Lonchura striata: one gene and its partners. The protein of the gene in region 3 purifies or fractionates together with the protein of the main gene of each other region. This does not show direct contact. Links are inferred from orthologs where the notes say so. Each region holds a gene or a part of one and is shown on either strand. Other genes may lie near its edges.

Evidence for each region.
Region 1: the proteins of SLC30A1 (region 3) and XXYLT1 purify together in Homo sapiens (co-immunoprecipitation; 3 studies listed by BioGRID and IntAct, with this or other methods). This does not show direct contact. The link is inferred for Lonchura striata from reciprocal best matches to the Homo sapiens genes SLC30A1 and XXYLT1.
Region 2: the proteins of SLC30A1 (region 3) and METTL9 purify together in Homo sapiens (co-immunoprecipitation; 3 studies listed by BioGRID and IntAct, with this or other methods). This does not show direct contact. The link is inferred for Lonchura striata from reciprocal best matches to the Homo sapiens genes SLC30A1 and METTL9.
Region 4: the proteins of SLC30A1 (region 3) and CSGALNACT2 purify together in Homo sapiens (co-immunoprecipitation; 3 studies listed by BioGRID and IntAct, counting the BioPlex papers as one, with this or other methods). This does not show direct contact. The link is inferred for Lonchura striata from reciprocal best matches to the Homo sapiens genes SLC30A1 and CSGALNACT2.

Annotation. Positions count from the first base shown.
Region 1 is NC_134612.1:15,219,050-15,225,883, reverse strand, and holds the start of XXYLT1 (xyloside xylosyltransferase 1), read right to left. Parts: upstream 3,018-6,834; 5' UTR 2,973-3,017; coding exon 2,781-2,972; intron 1-2,780. UniProt on the Homo sapiens protein: Alpha-1,3-xylosyltransferase, which elongates the O-linked xylose-glucose disaccharide attached to EGF-like repeats in the extracellular domain of target proteins by catalyzing the addition of the second xylose.
Region 2 is NC_134618.1:10,761,013-10,768,061, reverse strand, and holds the start of METTL9 (protein-L-histidine N-pros-methyltransferase), read right to left. Parts: upstream 3,014-7,049; 5' UTR 2,919-3,013; coding exon 2,745-2,918; intron 1-2,744. UniProt on the Homo sapiens protein: Protein-histidine N-methyltransferase that specifically catalyzes 1-methylhistidine (pros-methylhistidine) methylation of target proteins.
Region 3 is NC_134605.1:12,216,213-12,223,263, reverse strand, and holds the start of SLC30A1 (proton-coupled zinc antiporter SLC30A1), read right to left. Parts: upstream 3,003-7,051; coding exon 2,369-3,002; intron 1-2,368. UniProt on the Homo sapiens protein: Zinc ion:proton antiporter that could function at the plasma membrane mediating zinc efflux from cells against its electrochemical gradient protecting them from intracellular zinc accumulation and toxicity.
Region 4 is NC_134609.1:8,302,601-8,310,116, forward strand, and holds the start of CSGALNACT2 (chondroitin sulfate N-acetylgalactosaminyltransferase 2), read right to left. Parts: upstream 3,007-7,516; 5' UTR 2,915-3,006; intron 2,498-2,914; exon of another isoform or gene 2,245-2,497; intron 1-2,244. UniProt on the Homo sapiens protein: Transfers 1,4-N-acetylgalactosamine (GalNAc) from UDP-GalNAc to the non-reducing end of glucuronic acid (GlcUA). Required for addition of the first GalNAc to the core tetrasaccharide linker and for elongation of chondroitin chains.

The DNA of each region.
Region 1 (6,834 bases), on a different chromosome or scaffold from region 3:
AGGAAAAAACAACCTGCATTTCTTTTCCCTTTAACTCTCCCTCCTTCCCATGTCAATCATCCTCGCAGGTCTTTGTAAGCGTGGCGTGATGGCAGCCCAGTTACATCCACCCAGCAGTGTCCTTCGTGGGGCTCATCTGAACAGGAAACCAGGATGAGCAGAGAGCCGAACATGCAGTCCGTGTTATTATGGTAAGGAAATGGAATCAATAAGAGATAGGAATCGTGCAAGGAGTTGCAGCACACAGCCTGGAGTGGCAGGAAACGGGGCAAGCTGCTGCTCTGTGTAAGCAGCGTCAGCCGAGGCTGGCCCAGGCTCGCTGCCGGACACCTCCCGCTGGCCGGGGGTCGGGAGAGGCTACAGAGATCCTCCTGCCAGCCGTGTGCTGTCACAAAGCCCCGGTAAAGCCCACCGAGGCCCCGCACGGGCAGGAAAGCCGCGGGCTGGGTCCTGCCGCCGCCTCCCGGCCGCAGAGGCGGAGCAGGAGCTCCCTCTGCTGCCAGCTGCGTTCCCGGCTGCACATCTGGGCACATCTGCACGGCCAGCGCGGGCGGTGACTGCCCACGCCCGGCCAGCCCTGCCCTGCTGGGTGGCTCCAGTGCCTAAGCTGCTGCCACACACCCACCGCCTGCACCCCACAGCCCCTCTGCCCTCACTGCACACTGCCCCGGGCTGCAGCCGGCTGCCGCAGTCTCCAGGACACTCTGAAAGCCCTGAATCTGCCTAGGGAGAGAGAAAAGCTGCCCATAACCTCCCCCAGTGGTTATGATCCATATCTGACTCTGGGCTTCACTCCAATAGAGAAGCTAACTGATCCCAGCTTTGCTAGGATGGGAGGGCATAGGCAGCTCCAAAAGCTGGGCCTGAATCACTTCCTCATGAAGAAAAGGTAAAGTTCAGGGAGTTTTATCAGTCTGGCCTTAGTGGTTCCAGCTGCCCACTGAGCCCTTTATCAAGCCTTATATCTGGGCCTGTGCTAGGAAAACAGCATAACAAGCAGCAGAGAGTTCTGCACGCACCATGAGGAGCAGGAAACGAGAGGTTTCAGGATACAGATGGGTTACTGCTGGAGCTAGCCGAGCATCAGGATCAATCATCTTCAACATTTTAGCAGGGACACCAGAAATCCAAGCTAGGCATAAGTTTCCTGCTGATAGAGAAGAGGAATGGGGTGCTACAACAAGAATAAAGAGGTGCTGTCACCTGCTGGTGTTGCAGTAACTGGCACAGGATTAGGACAAGGCTGCATGCTTGAGAAGCAGAACAGCCTCTGCACTGTACCTAAAAGCAGAGAAATGGTCCGGTCCAAAACACACTGGCAACCACAGGCTGGCCATTGAAACCAGGGTACATCAGGCTCTGCCAGGAAAGAGAAGCAGCTGTCCCACTGAGCAGATCTCAGTGAGATCTCACCTGAGGCCTCCAGATCATGCTGCCCTGCTTACACCCAGGAGACCAGTTCTGGTACCAGACATACTCACCAAGCCATGAGCCAGGTTTCACTGTGACTCCACAGGCACCTACAGACAGGGGCCAATCCACAACAGACAAATCACTTCATGCCTCCAACTCCCAGCCATGTTACTCTGGAGAAAGGAGGCTGGCAAGGCTGCCTGCTGAGAAGCTTGTTTCCCAGAGGGGCAGATGGCAGTAAGGCAGTTGCCTACACAAAGGGGTGACTGCAAGGGATGTGCACACCATAGTGGCATGGGGGTCCTCCCACTCCAGGAGACATAATACCACCAGCCTGGGTTAGGCTGTTGCACCACATCAGCACAGCACCATCATGGGGCACTCAGTCCATCCTGCTGTGGAGTGCAAGAATCCTCCTGTGGGAACTGTGCACACCCTCCAGATAGCCAAGCACTGCTGCATGGGTCTCCCAACATGGGTGCATAACCTGAGGGCCACTACTAGGAAAGGACTTGTTTAAAGAAAACCAGTGGTAGAATTTACCAGGAAAGTGTCTGTATGAAAAATGTTAGGGTTACACTTCTAGTTTCATCTTGGCAGAGTTCAGCTAATATGAAATACAGGATTTATGAGCAATAAAAGTTACATCAGGACTAGAGGAAACTTCCAAACAATGCTCTGCAGCAGCAGCTTCAGGACAGGAGAGTCAAGTTACCTGGAATCTCTGAACTTAACACCCCTCCAGTTTTCAGACACCTGTTTAATGAGAAGGGAAGCCAAACCTCCCATAAACTACACTAGCTGTGGATTTGGGAGGCAGAACCATTTCCCTGGAAGTAGAAACATTTGGACGTAGATGCACTAGAGCCCCTGCAGGCTCTCCATTCCTGCTCTCAAGAGCCACCAGCAGCAGGCCAACCTTCTCTCCTGCTCGGGAACCCATCGAGATACAAGCACACGTGGTCCTTGTGTCGAGATGCTGAAGCGGCACCAACAGGGCCTGCAAGAGGGCAGCACTGCTTAGAGCAACTGCTCCTCTCCAGCACAGGTGGTGTGCCAGTGGTGCTCCCAGGCCACGCTGCTGCCCAGTCCCAGCTGAGAACCGCCGGGCTGCACCAGGCCAGCTCCCCTGAGGCAGCAGCGGCGGGGACACTGAACGAGCCCCGCAAGACTCCCGGGACCGGAGCAGGGGGCGCTGCTCCAGCAGAGAGCGGGAGCGAGCTGCTCTGCTGGGAGCCGCACAGGGCCGCTGGTTGAGGGACTCCTTCCCGCCGGCCTGCGGTTCCCAGCGGGAAGAGCACCCGGGACACGCGGGCAGACCCCGCTCGCTCCCCGCGGGCCCGGCCCGCCCCTCGGCCCCCGCGCACCTGGTGGCGGAAGGCGGCGCCGCGCAGCAGGTCCCGCAGCAGCCCGAGCCCGATGTCGCGGCTGGCGCCCTCGGTGACGAGGTGGAGGTGCAGCACGTCGGCGGCGCCCAGGCGGCCGTGCCGCAGCAGCGAGCGCAGCGCCGCCTGCGCCTTGTCGCGGAGCGCGGGGCTGCGCTCCGCCTTGGTGAACATCAACAGGAGGTGCAGCCCGCGGGGCCCCGGGCCCGCCGGGGCGGGCGGCGTGGCGCGCAGGCGGCGGGTGGCGCTGGAGAAGGTCTCGCCGCCGCCGCCCAGGTAGTAGAAGGCGCAGACGGCCAGGGCCGCGGCCGCCGCCAGGGCCGCGGGCTGCGGGCAGCGCGGGCAGCCCCGGCGCGCCGAGCCCCGCAGCGCCGCCATGGCGGGGCGGCACCGCGCCCGGCCCGCCCGCAGCAGGGCGGGGCCGCCGCCGGGCCGGCCCGCGCGATGACACACCACACACACCGCAGCCAAGTTTAGATACAAAGTCTACAGCCGTACATAACGCGAAGGAGGGCGAGGTATACAGTCTGTACAATTACAGCTTAAGGGGAGGGGTTTTTTACATTTTACTGCTGGAATGCTTGAAAAACACCGAGTACAGAGGAAGGCGCGGAGAAAAAAAAAAAAGTTCATTATTTTGGAGAAAGTAACGTCTCTGCTTGAGGAAACGATGATTTCTTGGCGATTTCTGTCAAAACGCGGAAAACTTAGGCTCCTAACAGAAAAGTGAGTGGAATTTTTCCTCCTCTATCATCTCCTTCCATGGGAAGAGAAACAAGAAAATACTGTATGCAGAAAGATAAAGCAAGCATATGAAAGGTTATATACCAAAGTGGTACACTCATCCTTTTCCCCAGTAGTGCCTCTCCAGAGTTGACCCTGTTTTAAAACTGTGCCGCTGTGTAAGCACGGGAGCAAGGCATGTTGGTTGTCAGACTGCACAAGCCATAAACTCCAACTTGGGAAAAAGTGTCCATAATGAATGGGGCAGACTGTAGCCTGAAAAATTGATTCTCAAAATACTTTGTGTGTTGAAGAATCAGAATAATTAGCTAAGTCCTTCTGACACTGTAAAAATATCATGTCCTTTGTACTTATATATTATTATTTGCAGTTTCATCAAAGGGTCATGTTATAGTCACTGTGTAATTTGAGATTATCAAATTGAAGCAGCAGAGGTAACATCCACAATTTAAAACAGATGGCTGCACAGAAGCACCGCAGTCCTGGAAACATGACCTCAACCCTCCGCTCGTTCTAGTTCTCACCCTTTTAGTTTAGTGCTACAAAGTTTATGCTCTATCCAGGAGACCTAGTAATTTGGACAACACGTGTACTGATGTCATAATGCAAAACAGGAGAAACTTCCTCTTGTACAGGGATTTGCTGACAGCAGTTGGAAGGTCTGGTTGCATTTTCTAAAACTATTTCAGCTCAGTATACAAACAGGTAAAATATAAAACCCCATAGAGCAAAAAATGCAGTATTAATACAGGATCCTTTAGCAGTCTAACATTAAAAGCCCCAAATGGTATAATCCATAATCTCAAAAATCAGTGGAAAGACTGCCACTGATATCAGGGACTTCCTGGATCAGGTCCTAATGGACAGAGGGGCTGAAGTCCACAATGCACTAATGAGCACCTGGAACACACATCCATCTGATTGCAATGTGGGCTGTTTGTGAAGGCGAAGAAATACCTCTACAATCCAAATACACCTTCATCCAAATTAATGTAAACAAATTCCAACTCTCTAGCACAGACAGTGGCATAATTCAATATGATAATTCAGAAATTTAAGTTTGTATGCAATGTACTGACACTAACATAAAACATGAAACCTTATGAACAGTCAAAACAATTGATACTATTAATGAGCCACCACAGACACTACTTTAATCAATATGCAATGGACATACATTACACCTCTGAAATCAAGATGAATTAGAATGTAAGTTGAATTCCTCAACATTTGTTGTTCCAAGAGACTTTTGGAACACATAGGAAAGATATTATACTATCCTTCAATGGGCTAATATAGAAAATTACTAAAAATCCATATGAAGAATGGTTTTAAAATGTGCTGGGGATCTTCTGCTTTGTCCCGCACTACTGTATTTCATACCTACAGAGAAACATGAACTGGAATTGAACCTTTCTATTGTCTGGTACAAAGTACAAGATGTTAACCCACAATGGAACCTTACTATCTACTATTTCACTTAGATTCCCCTTGGAATAGAAATAGAAGTTTCCTAACATTACTGAGCAGAATATTAACATGAGTCAAAACTCGATATGGAATCCAGATCTTCATAGCTGTGGTGTTAATCACACTATTGAGGGCTGAAACCTGTGAGTCGCAGAGGCCCTAGAACACAGAGCCTACCAGAGCCTGGTGACACTGAGCCATCAAATTTAATGGTACATTCATTTCTGCCGATAAGCAACATGTTACCATTGCACCTGACCTGAAAAAGGCTTTAATTGAGTGCAGTTTATACTGGACATCCTATCATACCCAAAAGGACAGGGGAACAAGGCTGAAGATCACAAGTTACACAGCTACTCCCTAAGCCATTAAAACTCCAGTGCTCCTGATGAGTCACACCAGCTGTCAGTCAGGTGGGATTCATCCTTTAGCACAGAGACCGATACTGTTTCCCAGACAGATGAGAGTCGGGAACAGAATACATAATGTGTAGAGCTACAGGGAAGCAACTTCTTAGTCTAGAGAAGTCATCCTGGAGAATTTGTCACAGAGGGTTTTGTGGCCAGTGAAGATCTCCAGCAGCCTGGACTGAGACAGCAATTTTGCCACTAAGCTTTAGGCAGCTTTACATTCCAGCCAATCACACTACACACTGCCTGCCAGCCAGGCTGAGAAAAACAAACATTTAGAAAAACCTATGTCTAAGGTGGATATTATGCAGTTATATTGTCACATGGTCCCATCTGTACACCAGGAGTCTTACTTTCTCCAAGATCTACTAAAACACCCATTTGCTCGTAAATACTGCTGATTAGGAAGTATATTATCAATTCATAGGCAGCTATCTAAAAACCAACTTACTAAAAATTACTGCTTACAGGTGATATCCTTAAGTTTCTTTTTATTCAGACTAAATGTGCACTTTAAATGGGCAAAATTTGCTTTTCCTACCATAATTAGACCACATACAAAGCAAGAACTGTCTTGTAAGATTATTCTGCTTGGAAATAAAATCCACTGGACAATTCTACAACACTACTAATTTTGTAGCAATAATAATATGCAGACTATTACACATTTGATTCAGAATTATAAATGTTTGAAATACTTCTTAAAACTCAACATGCCAGAAAGTTTAACGTTACCATAGTTTACAGATTTCAATTTGTTTTATCCCAGTTTTGCTTATCTTTCCATGGAGAAAAGCCAATTAATTTCCTAAATACACTTAAACAGCAGGTCAACATAATGCCACAGCTTTCAGAATTACTGAAAACTGATTACTGAAAACTCACATTGGTACTGTGTCACCTAAAAACTCTGTTTAAGTTGTCTCCATAGGGTAAACAAATAAGAGGATAAAGAATTGCATCTGCTGATTTGAGGTTTAGGAGGATTATTATCTAGGTATAAATAATCTGATATATAAGCATATATCTAGAGACACCATTTATACATGCACAAGGGCAGAGTGGGGCTCACAACTACATAAAGCAAATTGTCTTTGCATAAAGCAAATTGTTGTGCCCTCACAACACAGTTGTAGACTGTGATCATTCATTGACAGAAATGTGCATTGAAATTCTAGTTTTTCTTGTGCTCACCTAAGTTTAGACAACACAAACATCCTTGAAAATTATACAAGGGCTACTGCTTCCTAATACAAAGGCTTGATTGCCCTAAACTTAGTGTGGCTGCAAGACACGAGACTTTTATACTAAGCTTAGGGCCTGTAATGAGAACAGCAAAAAGTAGAAACAGCCTTTCTACAACTATTCTACACAAACTTTGTTGGTTCAACATTTACTTTCATGTCTCAAAT
Region 2 (7,049 bases), on a different chromosome or scaffold from region 3:
GGTTTACACAGCAGTCAGCACAGTGGAACTTGCAGCCATCACTGGAATGGGACAGGATTCTTACTGCAGCTTCCCAGCAGCAGTGCCAGCAAGCACAGGGGAGCACACAGTGCTCCAGGGCCCTTTTGCCACATTCATGAGCAGGGGCTCCATCAAACACTGGCTCAAGGCAGCAGGGGAAGACCCCTCAGCTGAGCAGCAAACCTGCCTGCTGAGGTTTGAAAACCTCCTGTACAGTGGGTGCATTTCTGGCAGAATCAGGCTCTCAACTGTACTTTCAAACACCCTGGTGGGTGGAACAAGTGAGTGATCCTTTCCTCTGAAACACAGATTCTGAGCCTGGCACAGGGATCCCCAGAACTGCTGATTCACCACTTTAGGTCTCTTCTCACTGCAGCTCAGCACTTGTTAAATAAATCAGCGTAGGCCAGTGACTCCCAAAAGGAATCCTTAGTGGCTCCTGCAAAACCACTAAAGCAGCAGTTTGTGTACTCTGTCCATTCATTCAGAAGTCAATTCCAAGACTGTGGCAAAAGCAAATGATCCCAAGGAGTTCAGGAGCAGGTTGGGATGTGTCAGGTTCACTCACAAGGCTGCTGCCTCACTCCACTGAACAGGTTTGGAGTGGCTCAGATGATTTATTTGCCTTTTGCAATGTGTTGCCAGTTTCAATCCAGAAGAACAGCCTTGGGAAACAGAGGCTTTGTTCCATAAGCAGCATGACTACACCTGAGCTCATACACCTTGAGGTTCTGCACTGAACTCTCTCCTGCAGTTCCACTGAAAAACAACAGCCCTACAATTCTTGTCTTTAAAACTTCTAAATATTGACATAACCACTGGCAGAAAGATGATGATGACAACTAACAGAAGCTTATTTCCAAAAATTAGGTGTTGTTCACAGATCTCCACTTTCCTCTCAATAAGGTTTACTGAGTATGGTGTTATTTGGTCAAAGGTTGGACTTGATGATCTTGGAGCTCTTTTTCAACCTCAATGATTCAATGATTTTATGATCTCTCATGGTTAAACTTGCCAATAAGGTTATTGACAACTACCTATGTAACACTGGTGAATAACAGAAATTCTAAAACATTATAAAAGAAAAAACCAAAACAAAACAGCCCCCAAAAACCCCAACCTAAAAACCCCAATCTAAATTTCAAATGAAAAAATTGGTAAAAAACAGCTTAATTCCAGAACTACTTCCTCAGAATAGAAACTGCTTTTGTTTTCCTCCACACACAACATATGAAAGGCCACTGGTTATGTGACAAAGTATGTGCCAATCTCTTATGTATTTTCAGACTGTTGTGCTAAGACCATTGTTACAAAAAATTTATAAACATTGCAACTCTTGCCTAATATTAGTAAAATGATTAAAAGCTTCTTTTAGATAATTTACATAAAACTAGTTAAGTCAGTAAAACCGCAAAGTACCAGCAGTCTGAACATGCAACCCTTGCTTACCCCACAAACTCAGTAACCATAAATCTTACTAAATGTACCAAATCATCAATATCTACATTTAAAGTCTAGCTCAAATAAAATAGAGATGGAGATTATCCATTGCAGACCATCTACCTGTGAATGACACAGGCACCTCCACAACACATTTCCCTGACTTGTCTTTCTGCTACAGCTTTTAACAACACAAAAGACTTTCAGATTTTCTTTGTTCACCAGAAGGAAGTTCTTCGTGTAAACCCGAATTCTGCTTCTCTTTGTACTTATGTCCTGAATGTTCCCAACAGCAGAGCACAAGCATTAAATTCCAACAAGATTCTGGATGTCAGTGTCCACCCAGAGCACTAAGAAGGCTGCAGAAATGGATCAGCAGGAAGAATTATGGTCTTCCTTTGTACAGCAGTCCTCAAGTGTTTATACTACATCTTCGTTAGCTCGTTTCTGCATATTTAACCTAGATTAAGCTGCCAGCTTCCTTCTGCACGAAGACTTTTTATTAGCCCTTCTAACGCCTGTCAAATTTTTAGCAGCATTTCGCCAAAACATAGTACGGATCTGAACAAATCCCAAATGAAATCTATCACATAACCATTGCATTGCAAGGGCATGGCCCCTAACTTCTCCACAAGGTACCGACCCATGCGGCCACACTGCCCAAACATAGCACTAACCTTTCATCGCCGTCGGATCACATTGCAACAACTCATTCCTAGTCTGCCACCTCCTACTGCTCCGGGGCCTCTGGGGGAGTCTCAGTTTCCCACTTTTTTTTTGTTTTCCTCTAGATGCGCCGGTACTAATTACAAACATCTCTGTGATTACAAACCCACCCCCGTCACCACCAGCTGCAAACTTCCCTGGAGCGCTCTCACATCGCTCACCGGACAAACGGGGGCGTGCATTTTAAAAAACGGGGCGCACGAGCAGCAGCCGGGGCGCCGCTCTCCCGGGAGCAGCCCCGGCCCCGCCCCGCCCCGCCGCGGGTGCCGGGACCGGCGCTGCCGCCCCCGCCGGGTCCCCCGAGCCCGCAGCGCCGGGCGCGCTCCGCAGGGAGGGCCACGGCAACTTTCTCACCGCAGGACAGAGCAGTTCGCTCTCTTTGTCTGCGCCGCCCGGCCCGCTGCCCCGCAGCCCGCACCGCGTCCCCGCTGCTCCCGCCGATCCCCCCCGGCGGAGCTCCCCGGGCCGGGGGTCCCTGTGCCGGCCCCGCCGCCCAGCCCGGCACGGTGAGGAAGGGAGGGGAGGGGCGGGCAGCGCGGCCGCCGCCGGGGCTGTACCTGGTGGTTCTCCCTGGCGTCCGGGGCTGGCTGGCGGTGGCTGCCCATCATATTCACGTAGAGGGACCTGGATAAAGGGCTCCGCAGGTACCGGGCCGGGCCAGCCCACATCGTCCTCCTCAGCACCCACAGGAGCAGGGTGTAGCAGCCCAGCCAGCACAGCCACAGTCTCATGGGGAAGGGGCGCGATCAGCCCCGCGCGCCGCCGCCGCCCCCCCGCTCCATGGCAGCGGCGGCTCCGCTCGGGGCCCGCGCACACGCTCCGGGCGGAACGCGCCGCCGCGGCAGCGGGGCCCGCCCGGACGCCTTCGCTGCGACACGCCGGGGCCTGCCGCGCACACCCGCTCCCTCCCTCTCTCTCGCCGACGGCCGGGCGGGGCCGCGCCGCGTTCGAACCGGAGCGGGGCCGGGCAGGGTGGGCTGGCGGCTCGGCCGGGCCCCTCGCCCGGGCTCCTCCTTCGTCCCCGCCCCGCCCCGGGCCGGCGGGCGGGCGGGCGGGCGGCGGCCGCCTCGGCGGCGCTCGCGCACGTGCTGGGCGCCGCCCTGCCAGCCGCGCGTGCGCAGAGCGGCGCGGGCCGAGGCGCGGCCGAGCCCTCAGCGCGCGGGGCGCGCCTCAGAGCCGGGCAGGGTGGCGCTGGCAGCCAGAGCCCTCCGGGATCCTGCTTCTGCCTGGAACCCCCTCTGATCCAGCTCTGGTCACATCCAACCCTGGCAGACAAACCCCTCCGGGATCCTGCTTCTGCCTGGAACCTCCTCTGGTCCAGCTCTGGTCACATCCAACCCTGGCAGACAAACCCCTCCGGGATCCTGCTTCTGCCTGGAACCTCCTCTGGTCCAGCTCTGGTCACATCCAACCCTGGCAGACAAACCCCTCCGGGATCCTGCTTCTGCCTGGAACCTCCTCTGGTCCAGCTCTGGTCACATCCAACCCTGGCAGACAAACCCCTCCGGGATCCTGCTTCTGCCTGGAACCTCCTCTGGTCCAGCTCTGATCACATCCAACCTTGCCTACCCTGCGAAATCAGCAAAACCAGAGCAACAGCAGAACATTGCCAGAGGATTTTTGAGTGCAGTTCATTTTCTCTGATGTTCAACCCCCCTGAGGAAATTTTTTGACTTGAGAGCTTTAGACAGTGTTCCACTGCGGATTGTTTGGGTTTTTTTCTCCCTCCAATAGCTAGATGGGCTACAATGCCTTTTTGGTCTGTTTTTATTTGGCTTGGGATTAAGACTCTCCTTTCCATGCCTGTTCTTATTTGTAAAGACAGACTAGTTTATTTTTTCCACCTCCAGGAATAAAAGAACTTTTTAATCAAAATCCAAAATGACAAAAGATAAATTTACTGCTTTTTAAACAGACATCTGCTTACTGTATTATAAATTGGTAAATAAAATTAATTCAGGCTAGTTACGTGTTGTTTACAGGGAAATAGATCTTGGTTTTGTCACATAAAAAATACAGATAATTGATTGCACACCAAATAAATTAAGAAATTTGCTAGCTTTTGCCTTTGCATCATTAGCATACAACCTGGGTGTGTTTTAATGGATTTTTTCAAAATTCCTACCCAGTGTTACATTTGTCATTAACATTCTGATGCAGTAGTTGTATACTCAGCATATTTTTCTCTTGACAAGCCATAAAGAACTCACCATGTATATTTAGGTAATAATTTTGATGTAGTCATTTTCATATAAACTGTTGGAGTTGTAACCAACTTCTGGACAACCTCAGCAAATCCTCTGTGGTGTAAGCAAGCTTTGCCACTCAATTAGTGTGCTGAGAAAGGATTCCCAGAAAGAATGGAATCACTTTCTCTGTTTTCTGCTCCACTATTTGGAGAGTGTTTTCTCTTTGGATGGAAAATTGCTATAATCAATTGAATCCCTGGTGCTGAAAAGGTCCCAAGCACACTGAAGAGCTGAGCCCAGCTGTTGTTGCTGTGTGCTGACCCAAGGAGCCTGGCTTCTGGAGCAGCCTCGCTGGCAGGGCAGGCTGCACAGCCTCGTGTGGTCCATGATGTGGATCCTCCATTTTTCTAATAAAATGTGATGCCTCAGGTTTTAGCTTTTATATTTTTCAGATTCCGTACTGCTTTAGTGTGTGGGTCAAGGCTTCGTATTAGGGGATGGTGAGCTCTCTTCACAGAGTGGGTAGACAAAATATTTTCTTCTCTAGCTGGGGACCAAGGACAAATGATCCAAATCTCAGGCCCAAGAGCATAAGCAACATGGACTGGAGAGAAACGCAAGAAGGGTGGGACTTAATGAGCTAAAGCTCTAATTGGACAATGAATTCCAATCTGCAAATGGAGCAGAACTTATACAAGTGAGAGACCCCATGACTGGTCATGCATTTTGTGACCATTTTGGGTTCACCTTGGGTGTAGCCCAGGCTGGGCTCTTGTGCTGCCCAAGGTGGATCTGTTGAGGCCTCCTAATAAATCCCTACTTTATTCTTTAACTCTGTCTAGTCTCTGTTCCAGGTCAGCCTACACAAGGCATCAAATGCAGTGATAAAACAACTTTCCCTTCTATTATTGAAATGCTAGCAAGAAAGGGATTACCAGAAAGAGGTCTCTAAGGTAAACACAGATACCTAAAATCCTCTCCCCCAAAGGTAAGCCAGGGAGCCCAGCTGTGAGTCTCACCAGACCTTCAGAACAACTCCCCCCAGGCTCAGTTCTAAGTTCCTTCAGCAAACCAGCTGGAATTCTTTTGCCTGCATGTACTACTGAGCCTTTTCCCCCCACAAGCCTGCTTAATTATACAAGGAAGTGCCTAGCAGTCCTTGTGGAGATGTTGCTTATCTGAAGTGTTCCTTCCCCTTCCTGCTTGTCTTTCCTGACAGCACCCATTAGGCTGTGGAACTGTATTCAAATGTAAACATTCCTACCAGCCATGTCAACACAGTACATTCATGAATTACTGGGCAGTTCCAAAATCAGGGCAGCAGGAGACTGGGAAGGGCATTTTGTACAAGACCAGAACAGTGGTGGGCATGTAAGCTCCACAAAACATCATTTTTCCTCACTTAAAATTAAATATGCTTTGCTGTCATTTATTCAATATTTTCACTCTATCACTGACCACATATTATATTACTACTGTATTAGACTAACATTCTTTAGTGTCTATTGGGCAACATCCTTTTAAGCCTAGCAGACATTTCTGCTTATTGATTTTCAGTAAATAAAATTCATTCAGTGTATTAAGTTCCATATTCTCAGAATTTATAGAGAAACTCTAAGAAGGTAATTCAAGCATCACATTTCTCCTCCTCTGATCTTATCACAGCATTTCATATTTTATACTATACACACATTTATAGCCTCTTTATCAGTTATGAGACTGTTTTAGACACTTAAATTATCCAGATTAAATTGAGGCATTTTTCCAGCAGTGGGAGTTCAAGCTCAGATACTGTTGGCTAATAAGGAGAGAAAGCAGGGAAACCAGCTGTTGCAAGACACTGAACTCTTCCCTTTGATCATCCTTTACTTGATTCACAGCCAAAACCAATCATGTAGGTTTAGCAGAAGATAACAAAGTTTAGTGGGTGACAGAGAAATGGAGAATAAGCAATGTCAGTCACAGCACAGTGCCAACCTTCTATTCCCATAGGAAGACCACCACCCAAATTCAAAGCACTCTTCCAGTCCTCTTTGGGATTGACTATTGATGCTCTAAAAGACATTTCTCCTGCCCTTACAGCAAGGGAAATAGGACAGACAAATGGGAGAACAGTGTATAATAAATTTGGAATATTATTAATATTTTACATATCAAATAATTTGAATTGTAGTTCTCAGATTTTTTTTTCTAAACCGGTTTATTCTACAGTTAATGTCTCCTATCTTCAGGCTGTTTTGCTTAGAAATCTTTGATTATGTACTTTTCCTGTAGGAATTCTAGAGATGCAGCAGATTGTAGAGTCTACTCACCAGTGCATTGAGTCATATCACTCCTTACTCCTTATTTCAGCACATTAATGGTAACTTTATCAGACAGTTTCCATAAAAAAATAATTCTGATGATTTAATTGAATTCTTGATGTAATTTTGACTCTTAAAACCACTTATTAGATTTCCTGCTGTATAGCATGGTACTCTTCCAGTACACTATTTTCTAATAACTTAGTATTAGAAATAACTAACACAGTCACCTAACAAATCCCATTTATGGTACAATAACATTATTGTATATGTTAAAATATATATTCTATGAAGATAGGATAAACATGGGAAGTTTAGGAAATACAGAAACAATAAAGACAAAAGAGACTATTTAATGTCATTACCATTT
Region 3 (7,051 bases):
ATGATTAACCTCCTGCTTTTCTTCAAAAGTTTTTTTTTGGCTACTTCCAGTGGTAAAGAAAAGCAACAGGCACTGGCCCCTGGCCCGACAAACTGAAACAAGGAGCTCTTACTGCTCCTTGAGGTTATTGAGTTCAGAGCTTTGTAAACATTAACACGTTAATAAGACGTGCAGCTTCTGCTGTTCTGCCCTTGTGGCTGCAATTCTGCAATTGCGGAGTGCGCACAAGTGCTCTCCTCTCTGAAGAGGGAGTGGGCTCCTACCGAGGCTGAGTTCCAAGCCCCAGCTCGTTGCCTCATCCAGTATGCTTCTGCCCTGAAGCTCCAGCTACATTTTCCACACTGCCTCTAAGAGTTATGGAACATGGGACCTGTAACTTTCCAGAGACGTAAATGAATTAGAGGGAAATATCTCGGGTTACAGAGTTCAGACCTCAAGGTCCACAATGAGAGCAAGGAAAGAGGAACGCTCTACTTTGTACCAAGTACTTGGAATAGTGGAGATCTGAAAGGTCAGTACAGCTGTCTATACAAGTGGGTAACATGAAACATAGTTCCAGAAAGCTCTTGAACTTTTTTTAAAGGCAAATGGTTAAAACATGCCCATTTGAAATACGCTCATTAAAATGTAACAATAAACTGATTATTTTGCATAAAGTGCATCCATAGAAATTCTTGTGCAGGACTAGCCACTAAGGCTATGCCTACTTTTCACTTCCGCCTCAGGAAATCAGGACTACCCCACTCTGTGATTTCCAGTGAAGGCACAGGATCACCTTTGCCATTATCTCTACATCTTACATCTTCTCCCAAGCCTCCAATCACCTTTACCTCCAACTTTTCCATAGGCAAACTATGAGTAGCTCCATCCATTACATAATCATGACAGGGCAATGAAGGAAATAGAAACTTATCTCAAAGTTTCACTGTGACCAAAATTACGTCCTATTACCACCTAAATACCCACAACAAATTATTTGCTCTTGCCAGAAGTGCATCCATGAGACATTCTAGACAAGTCAGCTCACAACAATATCCATTTTAATTCATGCTATACCTTTTTTCTCTAACTAGTCCAAAACTTGGCTAAAAGCACAACTTTTCACCATTAAATTAAATAATTCCCAAGCCAATGAGACTAAGGGTTAAGGTAATTTTACATTGTTTGAACCTAATTATTAGGATACATTTGCTGGAACTAAACCAACATTAAGAGCTTATTACATCGTCAAGAAGATGGTGTAGTGTATTTAGATGAACTTTCCTATCCTCTTGAAAAACCTGTCTTTCCAAAACCAACACAGAGTTGGAGAAACAGAAACTAAGTTTCTCAAATGTGTATTCGAACCTCTGAGCACAGAAAACCTGTTACTGTAGCAAAGTTCACTCTGACCAATTAAAGCTCCCTTTAAGCTAAAACAATGGTCTGCTGATGTCACCCTGAAACTGAAGAAGTTGGTTCCAAAGCCTGAAGTCCATTCCTTCTGGTGACAAGGATGCCCTAGGAACAGAGAAGCGGCAATCACACACACCTTTCACTCCGCTAGCACACAATACTTAGCTTTGACCAAGCAGCTTCAAAATCAACTATCCAGGCTTCTGGATCCACTAAAAACCAAAAAATTCCTACCTATGAAACAGTTTAACCACAATTGGGAAGATTTTTAAACGTACGCCTGTGCGCAGGTCAGTGGGAAGGTACATACTTTAGAAAGCTAAACAAAAATTATTCCCAAGACACCACACATGTGCCCTGACACCAGCATGCTCTACATTCCAGCTTCCACAGTTCTGACTGGCAATTTCCAAGACTTCTTCCTATTAATACCGATACTATGAAGAGACACAACATTATTGCAGTGGAATACGCTTCCGTGTGTTTGGTTTAGATGGAGAGTAGCTTCCCAGGTAACTGATAACTGACCCAATGGAGCAATCCAGCTGCCAGGACCAAGGCACTGAGCCGCACAGCCAGTTCGGATGGCATTAGGAGAGCGTCTTGTGACAGCTCGTGTGGCCAGGCAAGAAACGCTTGTCATGTGCCTTTCCTTGCAGAACCAAATTTTTCCCCAGGGCAAACTGCTTTATCCTGAGACTCTCTTACACTCTGACCTGTCTACAAGACAAACATGCAGCTTAGGGCATCCGAAGGAAAGGCGTGAGGAAGAGGTGCGACAGCCATGTGCCACAAGAGCTGCTAAGAAAGTTTCTCGCCTCTTTTCCAGGAGTGGGGACAGAATGGTCCTCACAGAGTCCTGACAGAGCCCGCACCAGGTGGGACCAGGACGGCCACGGCCCCACTCGGGGAAACGACCCCTCCCGCTTTTCTACGCGTGGATGGAGCAGCGGCGCTTCCCCGCGGGGCTTACCCAGCTTCTCCTGGCTGACTCCGTTGGAGCTGCTGCAGTTCTCCACCAAGGTGCTGGTCTCGTCGCGGTTCAGCGCAGCCTCCCCGTCCCCGGGAGGCTGCTCGGGCTTGGGGCCGCCGCGGGGGTGCTGCTGCCGGCCGCCGTGCGAGTGCCCGTGGCCGTGGGCGTGCCCGTGGCCCCCGACGCCGTGGTGGTTGAAGAGGCAGAGCCCCAGCAGGTTGATGATAAGCCCCGCCACCCCCACGGCGATGACCACCAGCGGCTGCTGGATCTCGTGGGGCTCCGTGAAGCGCTCGATGGCCTCCAGCAGGATGGTGAAGCAGAGGGCGGTGAGGAACACGGCGTTGACGAGGGCGCCCATCACCTCGGCCCGCACCCACCCGAACGTGTTCTTCTTGGTGGCGCGGGTGCGCTGGGCGAAGCGCACGGCCACCAGCGCCACGACCAAGGCCATCACGTCGGAGAGCATGTGGAAGGAGTCGGAGAGCATGGCCAGCGACGACGTGACGCGGCTCACCGCCACCTCCACCACGAAGAACAAGAAGGTGAGCGCCAGCATGCACAGCAGCCGCGCCCGCCGGTTCTGCCAGCACCGCGGCCCGCCCGGACCGTGAGCCGCCATCCCCCCGCACATCGCGGCTGCCCCGGCGGGGGCGCGAGGAGCGCGGCGGGCGGTCGGAGCCCCGAGCGCTCGGGCGGCCGCTCCGCTCCGCTCCCCCCGCGCCGCCGCCGCCGCCGCTCCCTCCGCAGGCGCCGGGCGAGCAAACTTTGCACCCGAGCCCCCTCACTCTTTTCACACGGAACCCGAGCGCCGCCTCGGACACGCCCCCGCCCGCGCCCCATTGGCCGGCGCGCCCCGCCCGCCCGGCCGTGCCCTCCCGCCCCCGCGCCCGGCCCCGCTCCCCATTGGCCAGCGCGCCCTCGCGACAGCGGCGCCCCGCCCCCGCCCGTTAACGCCCAGCGGGCCGCGGCCTCCCCGTTCCGCCCGCCCGCGCCTGGAACGGGGAGTGGGCGGGGCCAGGCGTGACGCGCCGGGGAACGGCGGATCCCCATTGGCTCACCGGCCGGCTTTCCCCTCCCGCCCCGCCCCCGCAGGCCCCGCCCGCGGCGAGCGGGACTCGTGCAAAAGGTGCGCTTCACACGGCCCCGGCCCGGCGCGCGCCCGGGGGCGGGGCCCGGCGTGAGGGGCGCTGTGACGTCACGCGCCCGGAGCGGGGATCTCGGGTGGGATCTGCGGTCTTCGGCGACTTTTTGCGGGGGCGGGCGTCTCTGTTTGATTTTCTCTGTTTAATCTTTCTCTTTAATTTTTCCTCCGTCTAATTAAAAGATTAATTTTTAATCTTTTCCTGTTTCTGCCACTGAGGGCAGGAAGATAAGTGCGAACGCGACCACTAATAACTGATGGGAGGCTAAAAAAATTGGAAGAGTTTTTACAAGAAGTTCTGCTTGAAGTTTTAGAAGGCTGTATAATATAAGAACATATTCATAAAATAAATCTATAATAATTTCTATAATGTTAAATACGAATTAATAAATTTTATAATAATTTTTCTATAACAATATAGGGAAAAATATGTTAATGCCAAAAGGTCGGTTCCCTGGACACTGGTTTGTTACGCTTGTAGTTAGGAAAGGGAAAGCAAGTGTTTTGAGACATCCGGAAAAACCACAGACGCGTGACCACAACATATAAAAAAAAAATAAACGGCCAAAGTTCCAAAAAGGCAGAGCTGACCTCTTACTTTGCTCACTGTGTTCTAGGGAACCAACAAACACGGCAGCAAGAGACAGAGTGTGAAAGAACATTCCATGAGCAGAGCGTGGAGAGGAGACAGCAGCCGTGGAGGTGGAGCTGTGGACCCACAGAGGCTGGAGGAGAACTGGTGGCCTGAGAAGGAAGATGTAGCCAGAACGCAAAATGTTGTTCCTGTACTTGGAGATTTCAAAGGGATTGTGATTCAGGGTCCGAGCAAAGGTTCCTGACTTAATTTGGGCAGTAAAATGACAGAAGGTGCTCACGTGTCCACAAGGAAAGCTTGTCAATGAGAATAACTGAGAGCAGTGATTCAGGACAGGCTTCCCCTGTGCTTGGCAGCATCCCCAAGAGCCCACATCTGGATACCACACTCTTATCCATGTGTGGGATAAGCGGGAATGTGTGCCATTTTGCTTAATTTTCCTCACATGGCAGAGCTGGCTTGGGCACCAGAGGTACTGCTGTGATGACCTGTGACCCTAAACCATGTTACCTGTGAAAGTATCCTTGGGTCAAAATCTAGGATGCATGCAGGATTCTTTACTAGCCATTGTAAAAAGAGTCAGCAATTAGATTGCTATAACATTCTCCTCACCTGGCTTCCCGTATGCCCTGACGTCACTTACTAACAAGTAAATAACCGGGAAGCTGAAAGGCAATTGCATGCAAACAGAACATGCCCATGTTGTGTCGTCCTCACTCCCACACAAAGCCATTAGTTTAACAAGGAAGAATTGCCCAGATTTAGGATATATGGGTCAAAGAAACTGGTGCAGCTCAAACCTCTTTTAATTACTGCAGGTGAAGTGGGTTATCATTTTACAGAGATTGCTATTAATCCAATGGAATTTAGCTAGGAAGGAAGGGAGAACAACAAGTTTGGTCTCTCTCATTGGCTCAGCTCCAGGAATTAGTGAAATTGGGTTTTAGTTGGTTGCCACCAGGGTGTCATCATAGTTTTCTTGATTAAAAGTACTCAATCCCCTCCTAAGAGAAATCAGCAGAATATCAATATCAGTAGAACACTGATGGATAAATCTTCATTATAAACTTGTCAAGAGCTTTGCCTGATTTAAGGAGGGGAGTTAGGGCTTTTTGGACTCCTTTCCTGGTATGCAAATGATGTCCAGATCAATTTGTAATCCTTTTTACATCTCTTCACCATGAGACCTCCTGATCTGCCTCACACCACTGTCCAGTGTACTGCATCTTTCCCCTTACAGGATGGCATCTTGCTGATCTTTAGCCATGTCCAGGGATAGCTTTTTGTCCTGTTATACCATGCTGAGTGCTTAATTCTACTTGGGGCCAAAAGCCACAAGACATGGACAATATACCCCAGGAGAATGGGAGGGTGTGGTGTCTTCCCAGGCAGGGAAGAAAAATGGTTCCTGAGGCCTTCCACTGCTCCCTGATGAATAGGGCTGGGCATACAGTTTTGACCCAGCCACTCTTGTCTCCATGGGCTTCAAACACAGGGACTTTGATGAATGATCCCCTGTGGCTGCTGGATGTGCCAGGCATGGACTGGCAGCTGGACCACACAGGAGTTTCCGCCGCTACCTCTTCCCCACACTTTCTTGTAAACCAGTGGGCTGTACACTGTTGTTTCCAGGCTTTTCTATTGTATTACCATACACCAGCAGCCAAGAGGAACAGGGATATTTCCTAATTTAGGGCTGTCCATCTGGCAACACCATCAATTTTAAGACTGATGGGAAAGTGACTGATACAGGTACCTAATGAAACCATAAATGGTGTTTTACAGGAGACACAATGTTCCTGCCTATGCTTTTAGGCAGAATACTTTGTCTTCAGAGTAGGGAGGACTCTGGATTTTTTGTTGTTTTTTCTTTTTTTTTCAGCTTCCAGGCATTGTTCATGACTCAAAGAATTCTTTCTCAGCTCAGCTTCCGGTCCACAGATGTGGAAGGACCCATCTAAAATCTGTTTACTTACCATAAATGCTTTGTGTTCCGAAGGGAGAAGTAGCTGTGGATGTCTGGCACACAGCTCCCTCCCCTCCCAGAGCCAGGTGACAAGTCTGAACAGAAAGCTGCTGCTTGTCACCTGTCCTGCAGCCAAACGTTTTGTACCGAGTCCTGCTGGGCTCTCCTGAGCCAGCCGAGCCCTGTGTGAAGGACTTTGGCTGGGAGTTTTGCTATTACTCAGCATGTTTGCTGAGCAAATAAAGTCACTGCTTTTCCCCTTTGAATTTCTGAGCAGGGTTGCAAGTGCAGAGATCTCCACCACGTAGGGCTCTTCATCGCTGTGTGCCTTTCCACTTGGAAAAGGTGAAACCCTGCCTAGGTGCCGATGCAGTCACATATTACAGAGCACACGGCCTCCTTTTAACACCCAGCTCTTCCCCTTTCTGTGCAGTCATCAGACCTGTTGGCTTTTAATGAGGGCTTTCTGGGACTGTGGCAAACGTGTCTCCATCTGTCTGTTCCACTTCAAGGCTGTCAGCATTCATTTTAGGCTGCGTTTCTCGCAGGCAGTATCTCTCTGGTAGCTGTCCTTACAAGGTTTCTTCAAATTAGATGCAGTCGGCATCACCAAAGCCAACAGAAGCACTCACTGTCCAGATACCTGCATATAAAAAGGTTGTTCCTTGTATCAAAAAACAACACAAAAGTGAGTATGACTGTTCATGTAGCTCTAGGTTGGATTCACAGTTAGGCACTGATTCAGGAAAGCAGCTTTATCAAGGAAAAGACATAGACATGTGTTTGCAGTTAATTAAAAGGCCTTCGAACAGAGGTAAGTTAAGCATGTGCTTACATGCTTTTGTTAGTGACCTGTGAAGAAAGCCTATAGCAATAATTGGCACTGAGATAGGAAATGAAGGACACCTTGCCCTACAAAGAGATTTCTTCTTCTACCTGATCACTGTGTCTGTGAAATCTGGGCTCTTTGGAAGTCGG
Region 4 (7,516 bases), on a different chromosome or scaffold from region 3:
TAAACCAGTACCCTATTCAACTACTTTTGCACTGAAAGGCACTCATGACTGGAGGGCTGTAACTTACAGATTTTTTCCTGCCCTCAAAACCAGAATTTTAAAGAGCTTAATAAAAAAGAAATTAAAGATATTAAAGTAATTGCACACTTTCAGATTTTTTTTCATGAGCTATAACATTAATGGATCTGCTGGGCTTTTCTAATCATAATTCAGAATGAAGCTGTTCTGGCAGACAGTAAGAAGTGCCCTTCCACAGATTTCTTCTTACAAGCTGTGGTTCCAACTCAGAAATAAAACTATATTCCCATTCCCTTCCAAAAAGCATTTTATTTCTTTTATAAACACCTTGTGAGTTCTGGTCTCATTTCCCCATTTCCAGCACTAATCTTAAAAGAGCATAATTAGATACATAGATAAGGCACAGTTATTTGTGGTTTGGTCTTTTTTTCTAAAAACAATATGCTCCTGAAAATATTTTCTTCCCAATGTGTCCTTTGAGAATGACTTTTATTATTTTTTTTCAAGTCTTGTACTCTTGAAACCCCTGCCTATTTTCTACATTATTTTTTGCAGAAGCAAAATTACTATGGACTTTTTCCATACTTTTATTCTGAATGGCTAATCCTTCAGAGGGCAGATGAACTAACAAAAAGCCAAGGACATTATCAGTTCCAGCACTTTTCCAAAGCCTGACTTTCATCCCACCTCTGTGATCCTATTTCCGCATTATTTAAGGAGAAAATACTGCAAGTCATGAAGCTTGCTTCATAATGACAGGCTGCTTCAGAGACAAGAAAAATATTGTGCAATTTGTTTTCTGCAGTGAAAAAAACTGACCTCATATTTCTCATACCCACCCTCCTGGGAGTTGAGTTTTATCTCTTTTAAAAGTTCAGGTAATTCTGATGGATTCTTTTTATAAAGAGGTCCACAGAACACTTCTGGCAAGCATGAAGTAGCAGATTGTGATGCAGGGGTTGAAATTCTTGTGCCAAATATGCTTGTGGGTTTTCTTGGTAAGAGACCACAGCTACTTATTATTTAACCATGCCCTCAGATGATATTTCTCACTGATTTGGGAAGACCCATATCCTGGGGTTGGAACATAAAAGCAAAGAATTTACATTCAAGGGTAATTTGGTGCAACTTCTACCACAATATAGCAGCTGTACCAACAGGTTTGGGGGTTCCTTTCTCTCCTTTATTCCTTCCTTCCTTAAGCCTGAGAAAAACGCTAAAACTAAGTCATGGGATCAAGAAGGAAAAGAACTATTCAAGATCAACTAATCTTAATCACACTGAAGTTCTCACATGTTTTCTCCAGCAACAGACAAGCTAAAGAATGTCTATTTGGGCTATACAGTCATGCACTTCAACAACCACCACCATTCCTCCTCCCATGTTCAGCTGCTGATGGTTTAGGACACTGATGCTGTAGCAATGCTCAGTGCAGGTCTCCTGATATTTCTGATAAGGACTCACTGGTAGAGTCTCCCACAAAAGCCTCAGGGTTTAATTGAGGCTCGTAGCTAACACCTCTCTGCAAAACGCACCTACCTCCACTGACAGCTACTGGGAATATTTCCAAACTGCTGTCTTTGGTGCTCCTTGGGGACCCTCTATCTAGCTAATAAAGGGAAGCCAGAAGTTTCCTTCAAACACACTAAAGCAAGATAGGAACTTGCAGCTAGTGCATGCTGGAAAAGAAGAAACTGTCCTACAAGGCCTAGCGTTACAGCCTCCATGGAAAAGAAACAGGGAGAAAAAAAGGTATTTCTACTGTATGACCTTAAACTGAGAAATACTGACTCAGTGTTGAAACAACCTTTCTTTTCTGCAGTTCTTCTGAGTTACCGGAAAGAAGACAATAAAGTTAGTCCTTATCCATCATCTACAAGTTTAGCAGAAGAGATCAGTGTCTCAAATTCCACCTGACAGAGGGACTTGAAGAGAAAAAAGCACAAACAAACAACAAAACCACATAATAAACACTGATTACACTTCACTGAAAACATGGACTATCAAGTTTAAATTTCTACATACTTCGGTTTAAAAAGGTCTTGAAAATTGCAACATCCCCCGTTTCTGCTTTAGCATTTCTGACTTAATTGACTAGTGACAATTACACAATTTATTTTTATGCTCAATACCAAACTCTCACAGTTTGCGAGAGCACAGAATTTACCGAGCAAGAACGCATCTGACAAAAACGGAGATGTAACGAGTAGTTTAAACAATGCTCACCATTCCACCGAGGATAATTAAGCACCCTCATCATCACTTCGCCTGTTTGGGGGTTGGTGTGAGGAGTGGGGGTTTCTCGCGGCCCCAACAAGCCCAAAGGCCCCCGCAGCCAGCCCGGCCGGGCGCTGCCCCGCGCCGCTCCAGCGCCGTGCGGGGGGGCCGCCCGCTGCATCCCGCTGCCTGCGGCTGCACCAACGCGCTCCCAGCACGCCCACGGCCGCCAACACAATGGAAACGCAGCCGAGAGGGACAGGTTCGGTTTATTGTTGAGACTGCGCTACGGTACAACCGAGCGGCCCGCTGTGCCGGGCCGCCTCGTCAGGGCGGCCGGGACAAGCCGAGGCGGTGCCGGCTGCGCGGACCCACGGCCGCTCGGTCCGGCCGCAGCCCGCTCCGGGCGGGACACGGGGCCGGGACACGGGGCCGGGACACGGGGCCGGGACACGGGGCCGGGACACGGGGCCGGGACACGGGGCCGGGACACGGGGCCGGGACACGGGGCCGGGACACGGGGCCGGGACACGGGGCCGCTGCCCGCGGCCGGGAGGGCTCGGGGGCGCTGCGCGGCACCTCGTACCGGCGGGGGCCGGGAGCGGCGGGCAGTGGGGGGCGCGGGGCCGGGAGGAGCGGGGCAGCGGGAGGGCGAGGGGCCCGGCGCCGCCGTACTCACCGCGCGGGCCGGCGCGGAGCCGCCTGCACTTCCTGCGTGCTCGGAAATGAGCGGGCGGGACCCTCCGCCGCGCCGCTTAAAGGGGACGGGCCGGCCGCCCCCGACCGCCCCCGGGGCGGGACCGGGTCCCCCGCGCAGTCCCGCGGGGGAAGCGGAGCCGCCGCCGCCGCTCGGCAGCAGGGAGGGGCCGCGGGACCGCGCTGCGGCTCCTCGCTCCCCTGCGGCGGGGGCGCGGCGCGGAGCGCTCGTCCGAGGGCGAGACTGCGAGCTGCCACCGCGCTCCGCGGCCGCCGGCCGAGCCCGCAGCGCCGCGGCCACACCGAGCGCGCCCGGCCGCTCCCGGCGGCTCCCGGCCGCTCCCGGCGGCTCCCGGCGGCTCCCGGCGGCTCCCGGCGGCTCCCGGCCGCTCCCGGCGGCTCCCGGCCGCTCCCGGCCGCTCCCGGCCGCTCCCGGCCGCTCCCGGCCGCTCCCGGCGGCTCCCGGCCGCTCCCGGCCGCGCTGCCCGCCCGGACAGTGACCCTGAACGGCCGCGGCGCTGCCCGGCACCGCTGCTCTGCCAGCCCCGCAGCCCCGCGGCTCGCAGAGGTCCAGCGGCACCACAGGGATGCTGGTATCTCAAGTGTTAGCAAAACCCTGAAATTGTCATATAGCCTTTATGGTGGAAACAAGAAGCAGAATTTACCAGTAATTATCTTCTACTTATCCAAGTGTTTATGTACAGTTCTGTATTTCCAGAAGAACATTTCATTACACTATATTATTTTTCTAATTATTAGTTTTCTGCAGGGCTTGACCTGAAAAGAAGCCAAGCTTGGGAACTCATGCAGCTTCCAGCCACGCACATGAATGGTGGCTTGTAGCAGTTTAAAAGGGTGAAGCTTGGGAAGCAGGTGAGGTAGTATTGGCCTTCCACGTTTTTGATCCAAACGTTTTTGATTCCGCTCATCAAAAACAAGAGAAAGCCAGTAAAGGCTTATTAGGTACAGACCTGCACCCCCTAACTTGACATCACTCTGCTGGATTGCCTGGGACTGCTCACCTGCCTCAAAGGCAGGCCCTGAGGGCTTTCCAGCACAGAGCCCCAATGGTCTGAGCAGCAGAAGCTGCATCCTTTGTCACGTTACTGCTCTTTTGAGATCTGTACCCCATTTAGCACAGAGCAGCCCTTTGTCTTCAGGCAGGCAGAAACCCATTTGTTCATAAATAGCTACACTACACAGCATGGGAGGGGGGCTGGGTGTCCAAGGGCCAGCCAGATCTGTTCAGTCTAGATTTCAAGCCCTCAGACAGCAAAGGTCTTTCCAGGGAATACCTTTAATAAACAGGCAAAAGACACTTGGCTGGTGTTGCCATCCATCAATCCAGATACTTTCCTATCCATTAAAACTTGTCACAATGCTAGATCATCATTTTAGGTATCCCTCAAAAACATACTTAAAAAGTATATTCATAGAAGAGAATTATCAGAAGGTTTTAAATATTCACATATGCACTGCTCAAACTAGGTAAATGTGGCTTTATTACTCTTAAAACAGTATGTAAATATACTATTTTAAACCTGACCTCATGCAAAATTTCAGTATTGCATGTTACAATGACGGTTGAACATCCCACTTGTCATCTTTGTTGTGGATAATGAGCAGGAGTTTAGTAGACACCGACACACTGGAGGCTGTAGTGTTCTGTAGACATAATATTTGTGAATACAAGAAGATAACGGAATGGAGATAACTGAAATGACTGATTTTGTTAACTAACCCTTCATTCTGACAATGCTGCAACACCCACTGGTTGGCCTAGAGAGCAGCCAGACTCTGAATATTGTTCTTCAGGTTTCCCAGGTACCACCTTGCTGCACATGAGCTTCTTGCTGCTATGTGGAGAGAGCTATACAGGGCCTTCCAGGGGATTATACACAGAATATTTTTTTTTTCTTCTCTAAGTGCTCTCTGCTTACCAGAATTTCTTCTCTCCCACAAAGCTTGTTCTTTTCCAGACTGAGAGAAGGAAAAAATAGATTTCTTAACCTCTTGTAGGAGCAACATGGGTATTCATAGTCATCTCTGTATGAAAGGTCTACCATGTCAGGAAAAATGATGGGTTTGCACTGATGTTGCATATAGTTTCCTGATTCTTCTATCAGAACATGCTGTTCTAAGATTAGATATTCCTTCATAACTCAGACCTGTATTTATGCAGATAGATGTTATAATTCCTATTTGGTGTTAATCTTACAGGCGTACAGAGGAATTCCCACATTGTGTGTGAATAAAGCGGGCAGTAAAACATTTAGGAAATATCTGTGTTTTAAGATACAATTCATTTCAGCATGAGGATTTTCTTAGACAGGTAGTTGCAGACCTAGCATCTGAGAGCAATAGTATATATATTTATATATTTATAATTTATGTGTCTCAGCTTTGAATTTTCCTAAAATATTATTATAGGATGGTTATTTAGGAGACAGACTTTAAAAATGTTTCCCTAAACTTTGCTAAACACTGTTCCTAAATTGGTACAGTTGGAGAAAAGGAAGTGGCTGGCTGGCAATAGCTTATTCAAAAAAGAAGCGTTTTCCAGAACAGCATTAGCTCCAGCCTCTAGTGGTTTTGGTTTTCTTTCTCATGCTTTTTTTTTTTTTTTTTTTTTTTTTTAATAAAGCATATGTGTGGCCTGGAGGGGAAGAAACAAAAGAAAAAGAGAAAGAAGAGCTAATCTGAGAACAAGATACCAAAGTGAAGGAGTAATGTAAATGAGGCCAAAGGAGAAAAGAAAAAAGGCAATCTTTCAACAAAGGATATTTTTGTTCTATTAACCTCTTGAGCCGAGGTGAAACATGCATGTAGAATAAGAAAAATGGTCCATTATTTTGCCTGAAAATTCTGAGCTTTAATTGTCAAACAATAGTCATTAGTTTGCCTTGACACAAGGCTTTTTGTCAAATACCACAGCTCAGCTTTACTGATGGCACAATTCCAACATGATCCCATGTGAAACCGCTTTCTTTTTCCTTAAGTGTTGCAAATTATTTATAACAGATACTGAACAATGCATGCAAAATCATGAAGAAATTTTAATAGCCCTAAATCAACCCTCCTACAATATTTTATTCATTGGGATTTATATCCCTCAAAATCCTCAAAGTTGCACTCTGTAACCCTTTGTCACTGCTGCTGTCCAAACGAATCCTGTTGCTCCGGGCAGTGAATCGGGGTCTTGGGAGAGGCCGTGGCTTCAGCAGAATAACTCACGCCTGCCTGGGGCAATGCCAGGCTCCCCCTCAGGCTCTGCTGGCAGTGCTGCAGTGCCAGCACCAGCTGGGGCACTGAGAGCCCAGTCCAGAGCTTGCTCTGGAGCTCTGAAAGGACACAGACTTATTGTCATCGTGGGGCATCAATGACACAAGTTACAGGTGCTTGGAATGCCAGGGTATTTTATCTCGCTGCTTTCAGAAACTGGAATAATGCCTTGATTTGCCACAGCTTTAGGAGAGACAGCGCTTCTGTACCAACATACCACACAAAAATCTTCCTGTATGTATTGTTACCATGCCCTTTATTTTGCACTGAGCAATATTTCCTTTTTGTCAATGCCTGGTTTTGGCCTCTATGTCTTTGAGTGCTGAAGGACTACATTTTTTCATGTAGTGTTTTGGGATTAAATAAATAGTAAATCTTTGGTATTATGATGTACTGATTTTTGGATTCAGAAGCATATAATTTATATAATGTTTGGTAAATGAACTGCTATGTGTTGTTCATTTCCTGTTGTTTTGGGATCACATTTGCTAAATTACTTCCTTTCAAAAATTCTCATTAGAAAACAGTATCAACTGACTTAAAATTTATATAGAGTCCTTTCATACATTAAAGCAGACTAATTCATGAAAGACATTCCTTATCATAAAAACAAAATCAATACGATCACAGCTGTAAGTGAATGTAAATAAGATTTAGTTTTATCTACTATCTGAAAATGCTTTCTTCTGATAACAGAAGTGCTTACTGCAGTCCACTTGCTTTTTTCTTTGAATAGTGATAGCTTAGCATCTGGAAAAGTGTATGGAAGGATAAATCAGAATTTTTTTGATACAATCTCTTCAAATTACTTTTTCTCTTTGAAACCAACATATAGTTGCTGTTAGCAACAAATGTTTGCCAAGCTTTGTGACAGCAGCAAATGGATTGTGGAAACATTCCTGTACCACCAGTACAGTGTCACTCTGGCTGGTGCCATGGGGGAAAAGGAATACAGAAGAGGACAAGCAGGGAGCTGCATTAAATGCCTGGGCTCTGCTGCTGCTCCAGCTGAGAGCAGCAGGCAATATTCTGCAGTGGTGGCCGAGCATTTTTCCTGGCCACATGGCCTTATTTTTCCTGGCAGGAACAATGGGTTGTGTGCCCACAGTTCCACTGCTCACTTACAGCTGCACCACGGTATCACAGCAGTAACAACATATATGGAAAGCAATCCATGTAGGTAGTGCTGGAATTCTATACTGGTTTATTTCTGACTATTCCAAAACATCTTTGCTATATAGCTTCTGTCTAATAGCACCAAGAAATGCTGTAGGCATTTTTCTAAAAAGATAAGAAAATTTTG